Coturnix japonica: one gene and its partners. The protein of the gene in region 1 purifies or fractionates together with the protein of each later gene. This does not show direct contact. Links are inferred from orthologs where the notes say so. Each region holds a gene or a part of one and is shown on either strand. Other genes may lie near its edges.

Region 1 (4,133 bases):
TTCCACAGCGGGTGGGCGCCGTCCCCATTGACCTCAATTTTACTGAACATATCGAACTTCACCCCGTAACCCTCCGCAAAGGCTTTGATCTGTGCATCATCCCCAGGCTCCTGGGGGGGGGGAAAAACAGGTATCACACGTGTAAACCCCACACAACCCCATATCTTTGCATTGAGGTGCCCACCTGCTTCCCAAACTGGTTACATGGGAAGGCCAATATGCGCAGCCCTTTCTCAGCGTATCGTGCGTGCAGGTCGACAAGCTGAGTGTAATTCACTGCAGTCTTTCCTCATTTGGAAGCCACGTTGGTGATGATGCAGACGAAACCCCTGGAGGGGTAAAATAGGGGGTAAAAGGAACCTCTGTGGGGGTAAATGGGGTAAAATAGGGGGTAAAAGGAACCTCTGTGGGGGTAAATGGGGTAAAATAGGGGGTAAAAGAAACCTCTGTGGGGGTAAATGGGGTAGAATAGGGGGTAAAAGGAACCTCTGTGGGGGTAAATGGGGTAAAAGGAATCTCTGTGGGGGTAATATGGGGAAAATAGGGGGTAAAGGGGGTGAAATAGGGGGTAAAAGGAACCTCTGTGGGGGTAAAAGGGGTAATATGGGGTAAAATATGGGGTAATATGGGGTAAAATAGGGGGTAAAAGGGGTGAAATAGGGGGTAAAAATGGGGTAAAATGGGGTAAAATAGGGGGTAAAAGGAACCTCTGCGGGGGTAAAATGGGGGGGGGGGTATATAATACAGCCCATTGCTGTGTTGCTGTATGGTACATATAATGTCTCTATAATGTCTATATAATGTCTATATAATATATATATCTAATAGACCTGTATTGCTCCAAGGCCACGTCTCGGCCGTCGATATCCGTGGCGTGGAAGTCATAGATGGAGGTGGCCGATCGCCATTCATCCGCCTGCGCGCACTGCGGGGCCCAGCGGTCACAAAGCGGCTCCGAACCCCCCCAACCCCCCCAGTACCGACCCGGTTCGGTTCGGTTCGGTTCTGTTCTGTCCCCCCCCACTCACCATTGTCCGCCCCGCTCCTCTCGCCGCCGCCGCCCCGCACAGCAGCGCCCGCCCGCAACGCCACCCCCACCCCATCCCGCCACCGCTCTCCCCCCCTTTGACCAATCAGCGATTAGGACGCGCGAAGGCACCGCCCACTTCTTGCAGTTGCGCAATGCGAGCCGCTCCCTTGGGTGATAGACAGGCGAAACCACCAATCAAATCAGCGAGGCTGCTGCAGTGTCAACAAGGGGGTGGTGTCCTTCCGCCATTCCACCCCGCCTACATCTCCCAGCGTTCCCCGCGGTCAAGGACCCCTCGCAGGGCAGCCCCGCCTGCTCGTTGTGGACAGGCATTGAGGCGGGCAGCCTCGTGGGGTCCTTCAGGAGGCAACATGGACGACGAGGAGGAGACGTACCGGCTGTGGAAGATCCGCAAGACCATCATGCAGGTGCGGGCCGGCCCGGTTCGGTTCGGTTCGATTCGGTCCGGTTTCAGGTCTCATATGTTGTATTTCCCTTTAGCTGTGCCATGACCGCGGTTACCTGGTGACTCAGGACGAGTTGGATCAGACGTTGGAGGAGTTTAAAGCTCAGTTCGGGGATAAACCCAGCGAAGGCCGCCCGCGCCGAACGGACCTGACCGTGTTGGTGGCACATAACGATGATCCCACGGACCAGATGTTCGTGTTCTTCCCCGGTGAGAAACGGGGCCGGGTCGGAACCGGGTCAGAAACGGGCTGGGACCGGGTTGGGACTGGGTTAGAACTGGGTTAGGACCAGGTTAGGACCGGGTTGGGACTGGGCTGGGTCTGGGTTAGAACCGGGCTGGGACCGGGTTTGGACCAGGTTGGGACCAGCTTAGAACCGGGCTGGAACCAGGTTAGAACTGGGTTGGGACTGGGCTGGGACCGGCTTAGAACCAGGTTGGAACCGGGTTAGGATCAGGTTAGAATTGGGTTAGAACCGGGCTGGGACCGGGTCAGAACGAGGTTGGGACCGGGTTAGGACTGGGTTAGAACTGGGCTGGGACCGCGTTAGGACCAGGTAGGGACCGGGTTAGAACCGGGCTGGGACCGGGTTAGAACTGGGTTAGAACCAGGTTAGGACCGGGCTGGGACCGGGTTAGAACCGGGTTGGGACTGGGTTAGAACCGGGCTGGGACCAGGTTTGGACCAGGTTGGGACCAGCTTAGAACCGGGCTGGGACCGGGTTAGGACCGGGCTGGAACCGGGTTAGAACTGGGTTGGGACTGGGCTGGGACTGGCTTAGAACCGAGCTGGGACCGGGTTAGTACTGGGCTGGGACCAGGTTAGAACTGGGCTGGGGTCAGGTTGGGGTCTGGTGGTGCTCCTGGTTCAATCTCACCCTGCTCTTTTCCTCCCTCAGAGGAACCCAAAGTCGGCATTAAAACCATCAAGATGTATTGCCAGCGCATGCAGGAGGAGAACATCACGCGGGCTCTGATCGTGGTGCAGCAGGGAATGACCCCATCGGCAAAGCAGGTACAGTGTGATGTGGCCCCGGGGCTCTTTGAGCTGTGCTGGGTCCATAAAGGCAGAGTTCAGGCTCTGTGCCTTAATACTGGGCTTATACATTGAGTGCACTGAGCTGGTGCTGGTTGGGCACAGAGATCTGTTTCCTCTCTGCCCATATGACCATATCAATGTGAGCACAGACACCGTGTTGCCCTCCTGCTGCTGTTCATCTTGGGGCATCTCTGAGCTCACACTGTCTCATATCAGTGCTACAACCTGATGTGCTTCTCCCTTCCCAGTCCTTGGTCGATATGGCTCCCAAATACATCCTGGAGCAGTTCTTACAGCAGGAGCTCCTGATCAACATCACAGAACACGAGGTGAGTGATTCAGGCCGGCCCTCCCAGCCCTGCCCTGTGCTGGGTTTCCCCACCAGAGCTTTGTTCCTCCCCCCAAGTCTTGCAGCTATGCAGAGCTGGTTGCTTTCTCAGACTCTTATGATCTCTCTTTCTCTCTCCTGTTTACAGCTGGTCCCAGAGCACGTTGTCATGACAAAAGAAGAAGTAACCGAGCTGCTGGCCAGATAGTATCCTTTGTTTGGTCCTTCCCTTGCAGTCAGGGTGTGATGAGTGCTTGTCTTGGGCAAGAAATGGATTCCTTTGAGTGTGTGATGTTCTGTTAGCTGTGCCCTGCCTCAGGACAAGCAGACACAGAGCTCCTCCTTGACTCCATGCAGTAAGCTGAGGGAGAACCAACTCCCCAGGATCCAGGCTGGGGATCCTGTGGCCCGATACTTCGGGATAAAGCGAGGCCAGGTAAGAGCAAATAGCCTGATAACAAACAGCAGGGCCCTGCAGGCAGGATGGGGAGCTGCAGCACAGTGTGTCAGAGCTTGGAGATGGGAAAGGTTTCCTCTTTGTTAGTGTTTTTGTTTCTGAACGTTATGGGTTATGTAGAGATGTGTGCAAGGCAGCAGATAGCCCTGGGGCCAGGCTTGGCTTCCTGCTGAACCAGCTGCTGTAACACCAGCCATCCCCCATTGCTCCTTTTGCTGCCCTTCCAGGTGGTGAAGATCATAAGACCGAGTGAGACCGCAGGCCGTTACATCACCTACAGGCTGGTGCAGTGATCAGAGCTCTCAGGTAATGTGTGAGATCCCCATCTACGGGCAGTGCTTTAAACTTATGCTGTGGTTTTCTAGGGGTGACTTGAAGTGAGTTGGCTCTGGGAAAGGATTCCCTCCTGATTTGCGAAGGGAACTGTATGGGATGGATCAGAGCAAAGCTATACTAGGGTTTGGTGCCTCAGTATCACAGCTGAAGGCACATCTCAATGTTCAGAGCAGCAGCAGGGCTTTGCTTTGAGAGCAGCTGCTGAGGGAGACATGAGCTCATTCACGTCCTGACTTATTTCTTCCAGTTGTGAAAGAATTCTGTGACATCTGATCTTCCCACCCACCACCAGCTCTCAGCTGTCTGCATTCGATGGCTGAGGAAGTTCTCTGTCCCTGCTGCCCCCCTGCAGTTGTTTTCCTTGTCCCAGTTCCTCATTTCCCAGCACGGATTTTGCTGCAAATCCTTCTGCTTCAATCAGGAACGCCATGAAAACACCTCGAAGCAACTGAATGACACAGGGAAGAAATGAGCAGG
Region 2 (3,567 bases), on another chromosome or scaffold:
TTTCAATGTCAGAAGCTTTAACTACTTCATCACATATTTTCACTTCTTCTCCAGATTGGCCACTGTAACACAAAACACAAGCCATCAATGAAGTATGAAATGGATGTTACGTGAGATTAGAAAATTATTATATAAAAGAAAGAGAAATGGAACCTTGTTCCTGTATAGAAAGTGTATACTTTTTTTTTTTTTTTTTTGCTCTAGAAATCATCTTTAAACTCAGAGTTCTAATGTTTTGCAATTAAGATGGCAAGTTTAAATGCTATTTAGAGAAATTTGTTCCCAGATGCTTAGTGGCAGTTAGAATAGTAAACAAGTTGTTACTAAAGACAGACTTAAGTTCCAATTTAGTATGAAGAATTTTAAACTATTTCCATTTTAAAATATAGATCAGTATCTCAATATACACATACACGTAGTAACTGTAAATCAGTAGGCCAGTAGAGCTTGTTTTTGGCATATTTAAGTTTGCCATCTAATGGCTGGATGTTCCAAAAGAAAACAAAGTCGCCATATGCGGCAAGGTACAGAGAGATGACAGAGTAACGTGAATTCAATTGAGCTGATATTGGTGTTTTAGAATAGGAAGTGCAGAAGTTTTCATCACCTATAATTGGTACACTTTCTTCATAAAGAATAGATGGTATAAAATATTTAAAGTACAAACAGTGTATTTGTTTCAGATTTCAGCAGGATCAATTATGACACATAGGCCAAGAGCAGCTGTACACTAAATCATACAGGTCAAACACGCTAGTTTAGAATCACAAAGGAAAAGAAATAAGACAAATAACCCTTTGTCTAATAAAGTCTTTTCAAAGATTTGCCCTTTCCCCAATATAATGTTAATATTTCTAACTATAAATGCATATAACAAATTATTATTCAATGTACCTCTGCCCCTTCTTCAGCAGCTCTATGTCTGATGGTCTGCAAAAAGAACATAAGGAATGATGACTTTTTTTTTCTGCTAAATCAGTACCCTTGAAATGCACAAACACAGAAAACACATAGTTGGGGCTGGAAAGAACCTCTAATGATCTTAGTCCAACATCCTTTGTTCAAAGCAGGGTTAGCTGGAGCAGGTTCATACATTCACATTCAGAGCATAATTTGTGCGGGCCTGTAGCATTATACATTTAATAACTTATCAAATCATATAAATGTTAGTTAGAAAGGACCTCTGGAGGGCTCCAATCTGACCTACTGAGACAGTGAGACTGTTACCAGCAGTAGATTAGATCAGCCACACCTTCTTTATGTTTAAATCTTGAGGATTGAGATTTCAGAACCTTTCCGCATGCACTGATTTGTTCCACTGCTCTCTTAGAGCACACCTTTTTCCCCAGTGTTAATGTAAACCACTGATACCATAATTTATGGCCAACATATTTAAAGTACAAACTCATTAAGTTTTTTGATAGAAACCAAGAACAGTTTGGGTCTGTAGCCTAGGTAATTTTTTTCAATAAGTGTAGACTTTTTAGATCATCCCTTGGTTTCCTCTTCCTCGAACTAAACATGCTCAGATCCTCATAGCTCACAAGGTCTCTATAGGAAAAACAATCTTCAGTAGTTTGCAGAAAAAATGCTCCAAATTGTTATAGGAAATAGGAATATTCAGGATATCTTCATTTGAGATGTTACTTGTTTAAAAAAAATAGACTCTTAAGTTATAGTGGGCTAAGAAAATGGAATCTGAAGGTTTCCATAAACACTAAGAACTGTTACTGAACAGATTCTGAAGGATTTCTTCCCAAATTTCTAGCTGCAGTTCTGCTTCATTTCAGTTATAAGGTAACATCACAATGCTAATTAGTTTATTCAACACTGGCTATTGAAATCCATACCTGCCTTACGAATGACAGAGAACCTTTTAAGCATGCCCTGAATGTAAGTCAATGAAATAACTCCTTAAACTTGGACAGTATATATATAAAAAAACCAACATAGCAGATGTAAAAGGATGAAAGTTGCATTTTTCATATAAATGAACTGAGTCTGGAAAGTAAAGGTGGTAAGACAGTGAAACTATTAATTCCAAATAATTACTCTTTAAAGTTTTAAATGGAGGTTTTTAGCTTTCTCCATCAAGAGAATTTCAGGTATTTTCACGTGTAAATGTGTATCAGTGTGTGCATATATAATGTTTATGCAATCTGATATTACTTTATTATGTTTGTTGGTTTGTTTTGGAAAATATGCCCATCCCAGCATGGATAATTAACTATGTCAAACATCAGAACTCCGCTTTTTATGGTAACAACAGAGATGTTAGAAATAGTTTCTTTAGAGAGAGCAAAACAATACCATGAATACGCAGATAAGCTTATTTAAATATTTTACAGTTTTACCTAATTCCTCAGATCAGGCTGCTTAAAGCCTCTCCTCTCACTGACCTGTGTTTCATATAAATCCTCCTACCATGAAACTGAGCTCACACATATAAATTCAGATTGTTTATTCTGTTGAAAGCAAGGGTACTTGCTTGGACAATGAAAATGGAATGAGCTGAACCTTCTCTAGGCAAGTATTTATTGTTGAGCAGTGACACCCAGTGGCTCAATTCTTTGTTTGCACACCTATGTTTCCTAATTTTTTTTAATATATTAAAGCACAGACTATGTAACCCTTACAAAATGTGTTGCAGTAGTAACAGAAAATAGGCAACCTAAAATAGCAGTTTTATGTGGAATAAGGAACTTCATTTTGCAGACTTTCAGGCTAACCTCTGAAAACCTCTTGCAAGGTAAGATGGATTATTCCTTTATCTTACATGGCTTGTAAAAATCCAATCACAATAAATACATTTTAAAATTAATAGGAACTCATTATTATTTAAGACTAGTTTGCCCTCTAAACTAACACAGTCAAGTCTGTTGAGTAGTCATTACCAGAACTGGGCTGCATCAATTACAGTAATCCATGTGGCAGCAACACTTAACATGAACAACACACTAACTTAACATCACTTGTCTCTGCTTCAGCCTGACCATTTGGATGTACTGCAACTAATTAATTTGCGTTGCAGCTTGGACTAAGAAAACAGTATCCTTGAAATGAGCCACAAATACATAAGGTCACACTTACATTTCTTCTTCTCGCATCCATACTGGACTCTTGGAAATTTGAGCTTCAAAATATTTAGATGCTTTGTAGCAAAAATTGCTGCAAAAGCACTGGAAATAAACGATGGAAAATATGATTAAAGACATCTTCAGTAGTAATAACTAAAAAAAACCAAATAAAGCACCAAAACACTCGAAGAGCAATTCTGAACCCTGTAAAATGGCCATACAGTTTAAAAGACATGCAATAACATTCAGGGTCAGCAGAACTTTTTTTTTTTTTAGTTTTCAATATGACTCTTAACATTTTGGAGATGGAAACACACTACTTACTTTATGAAAATGATTTTCATGAGATACACATGCATTAGTTGTGATTCAGTCCATTATATGAATGCTGTTACAAAATGCATTTGTGATGTGGAGACAATATTAAATACATTCTAAAAACAGCTTGTTACCATACCTTTCTTTCAGTAATATCGTAAACTCTGTTAGT
Region 3 (3,567 bases), on another chromosome or scaffold:
AACTCACATTTCAACTGCAATTGTGAAAACTTTCAGTTTGGGCAATTTAACTGTAATCTTTTTATTAATTACATGGAAAACACCTTTCAATCTCAAGTTTCAGATATGAGTTGATAATGTTTGACATTTCTTTTGCTGAATAAGGAGGTGGCAAACGTGAAAAAAGTTGGAACCATATGCCTTACTTTGAAGGACCTTCAGGAGAGGAACTAAAGCTTTTATACTTACCTATAACCTCCTCCAAGGCTACTAGAATCTGAGGAAGATCACACCTGGGAAGTCTCCTTCCATTTAGTCCCTTTACAAGAAGTCAACTAATAAATACGTAAGATGAGCTATGGAAATACATGGTTTCTTGGACCTTCCTACCACCTCACCTTGAAAGTAATTTTTCCTACAAGTTTATAAACTTTAGTCTCTTCCTTTTAGGATGAGCCAGCCAAATGTTATCTGTCCACAGAGCTGGTCTTGCCTTGAGTATCTCCACTCTGAGGAAGGTGTACTGTCCAAGTGCACACAAAACAGGAGGCCCACTCAATTGAAGGAACTGCAATTCTCTTGAAAGAAGATGCCTCCAATAAATAGTTGTGGCGGAGTTTCTGACCAAGCCATGAAGCAGTTATACTAAGAATAAAAAGGCTGCAAAAGAAGTTGAATGCTAAGACTTGAGTAGTCCAATAAGTTCTGACTGGACAGCAAAACTATTTTTTACCTCAGAGCAGTGAGAGCAGCCATTAACACGTTGATGTATCAACAGAATCATAAGCAGAATTTCACATACATTTAAGAATGCCTTGATTGTACCATCTACATTACATGAAACAGTTTTGAGGTAGGGCTACATCAGATAAATCCACAGTGGATCAGGGGCAAAAAAAAAGATGTAACTACAAATCCTCAAGTAAACAGGATGTTAAGTTCTGGCACTACGTAGACATAAAAGTCAGGAAATACAAATTTTGAAACACTATAAGCATATGTAGCTCCCTCTCATTGCATAGGGAAGGTTCAATTGGGAATTCCAATTGATGCCTACAGGAATTTAGCTGCAGGTGCAGTAATCCAATGTTTTGTGCAGTTATGAGAGAGGTATACGTGCTACAAGTGAGCAAAGTATTTTCTCACATCTTCTTGCCATTTAGCTTCAAGTTTTCAGTGATTTGGAACCACAGTTCTTCACTTGGCAAGACCTATTTTAGCAATATCAATCAAAATCTGCAGTAGCATCAAATCGTCAAAATTTTTCACAGTAAAAGGAAGCAGATACACCACTGATAGTGATTACAAGAAGTACACAGGGCAGCTTTCCCACAGAGCAGTTTTTTCAATATCCAGTGCACTGGCTCTTTGCTTTTTAAACAACCACAAGATTTATTATGTTAGCTTGCTTTATTGTTCATGGAATGAGGCAGATCCCAGCAATACCACATCTACAAACTTCACTAAGATTTCATACTTGCATCACTCTGCAACACCCTGTATTCCAGACTAAATTTTGCAAACAATTTTCCTGAGCAGCTCAATGATCTAGTCAAGCTACTTCGGTATCAAAAATCAACAAAAATCATCATGAAAGACAGGGAAGAATTATACAATTGCACAAGTTTCACTTTAATGATTTTCAAAGATAAGTAGAAATAAATATTTTATACTGAAGACTAGTTTTCTTACCATACAAAAGGCACTGGCATATATTATTTATAAAAACAAGGACAAGGAAAACTAATTTTGTAGACAGACCCTTTAAAAAAGACAAGTTTCTCTACTTAGGATAAGCTAAAAGCACAGTTACACCTAACAGTAGATGAAATTGCATTCACCAGCTACAGTGCAAACAGCACTATCTCAAGGATACAGAACTGGTAAGATCATACACCTTTCTATTAACATCATCTGTTAGGTAATAAAATTTAGTAGTCCATTACCAGACTAAGTGCCATCTTATTTCTGGCGTGGTACTTTAAGAGAGCATAGACTAGGTTGACTTATCTGCTACAGTCACTTTCTTAATGCTTCAAAGTGAATACCATGGGTTTTTTTTTTTCATGAACAAATTATCTAATAACAGCAATAGGGATTTTCATGTGATGTTCCTTAGTTCACAGAGCATCTACAATAGCTCAAATAAAGCACATCTCTCAAGACTTAAAAAATAATTAGACAAGAAATTCAGGAATACTCCCCCTTTTGTTTTATCTAACTTCAGTACTTACCAGAGTTGGCGAATTCTGATCTGGCCAAAAAGATTCAGGAACAGGCCAATGACCTATAGGAACCCCAGTTTTAGGGTTTGGTCTGACATAAATGAGTTTGTGACAGCTGTGCCAAGGCTGGGGTCCAAAGGGCCTACTTATATCCATCTGTCCATCTAGAAAGGAAAAATGCTTTATAAAACAAAATAGCATTAAAACTCAAAAATTTAGCAGCTTCTGTGATGAGCTTAAGACCTATGTTCCCAGGGACTATACTCCTTCAGCTGATATTTTCAACAAACACTCATGCAAAAAAGTAGAAACAATGAAAAAACAAGTGAGCATTGAGTGTTTACAGAACCACAGTTGAGAGAACTACTGGGAGCTCTTCATAACCATTTGACTGCCTTTGTCCTCCTATCACTATTCCCAGTTAACCTTCATATCTCATTTAGAATGAGAATTCAGAACAGCAGAGTCATATCTACTATTTTAAATTGCATGAGTTTTCCTTTGGTTTTTGCAATTCTTATGTTAATTTCACTGAACTATACTGATATCATCACTGTCATCAGATATCAAAGTATAAAAGGCATCAAGTACCATCAATTGGCGAGGGATCTGGTCCAGCTTTTTCAAAATTTATTACCACTCCACTTTGCACTTTTTGCACCAATGATTCAAGACACTGATTCAGCATTCTTGGAGAGCATACACAGTATGATCGACCTGGAACAGAATAGCCAGTGTTAAAGTAGCTCAGTGTTCTGCTCTTATTTCAACAAAATAGTTACAGATGTTACACTCAACAAAATAGATACAGATTACTGATTTGAAGCATCTGCCAAACACTCCAAGCACCAAGGCAGCCTAGTAAAGCAGTGATAGTGCTACATGCATCTTATCTGAAATACCTGAGTTCTAGCCCCTTAATGACATAACTCAAATTCTTGGGTGAATCCATGGAAAATGGGCTCCCCCTTGTGACAGACATCAACACAACTGTCTAAAAATTTCCGTCAAAGTACCACTTGCACAAGCCTACATTAGCCAGGAAGAAGTTGAATCGGTTCAGTTTCTTTTGGAATGATTTTAAAATATCTTCTGCTTGCTTCCAACCTAATCTCCTGCAATGGATCATAAGAATCATCATGTTTTAGCATGTGATGTAATGAAAGCATTTTACAACGGAATTAAAAAGATAATGCCTGAATTTGAATATGATTTCTAAGAGATAAGAATTATGAAAACAAGAAAAGCAACAATTCTGCAGAATTACTCTGCATATTGCACTGCAGAAATCCTGCACTGCATTGTGTATTCTCTGAAAAAATATCTTAAACATTTCCCATACTTTTGGTTTGCTTTGATTAAA

Evidence for each region.
Region 2: the proteins of POLR2E (region 1) and RPAP2 purify together in Homo sapiens (affinity purification with mass spectrometry; 4 studies listed by BioGRID and IntAct, counting the BioPlex papers as one, with this or other methods). This does not show direct contact. The link is inferred for Coturnix japonica from reciprocal best matches to the Homo sapiens genes POLR2E and RPAP2.
Region 3: the proteins of POLR2E (region 1) and INTS6 purify together in Homo sapiens (affinity purification with mass spectrometry; 3 studies listed by BioGRID and IntAct, with this or other methods). This does not show direct contact. The link is inferred for Coturnix japonica from reciprocal best matches to the Homo sapiens genes POLR2E and INTS6.

What each region holds. Positions count from the first base shown.
Region 1 is NC_029543.1:2,009,019-2,013,151, reverse strand, and holds the start of POLR2E (DNA-directed RNA polymerases I, II, and III subunit RPABC1), read left to right. Parts: upstream 1-1,322; 5' UTR 1,323-1,401; coding exon 1,402-1,458; intron 1,459-1,531; coding exon 1,532-1,706; intron 1,707-2,395; coding exon 2,396-2,511; intron 2,512-2,783; coding exon 2,784-2,864; intron 2,865-3,011; coding exon 3,012-3,070; intron 3,071-3,220; coding exon 3,221-3,299; exon of another isoform or gene 3,300-3,547; coding exon 3,548-3,613; 3' UTR 3,614-3,626; intron 3,627-3,903; 3' UTR 3,904-4,133. UniProt on the Homo sapiens protein: DNA-dependent RNA polymerase catalyzes the transcription of DNA into RNA using the four ribonucleoside triphosphates as substrates.
Region 2 is NC_029523.1:12,306,889-12,310,455, forward strand, and holds part of RPAP2 (putative RNA polymerase II subunit B1 CTD phosphatase RPAP2), read right to left. Parts: coding exon 3,535-3,567; intron 3,180-3,534; coding exon 3,091-3,179; intron 931-3,090; coding exon 895-930; intron 63-894; coding exon 1-62.
Region 3 is NC_029516.1:152,151,181-152,154,747, forward strand, and holds part of INTS6 (integrator complex subunit 6), read right to left. Parts: intron 2,922-3,567; coding exon 2,796-2,921; intron 2,369-2,795; coding exon 2,214-2,368; intron 1-2,213. UniProt on the Homo sapiens protein: Component of the integrator complex, a multiprotein complex that terminates RNA polymerase II (Pol II) transcription in the promoter-proximal region of genes.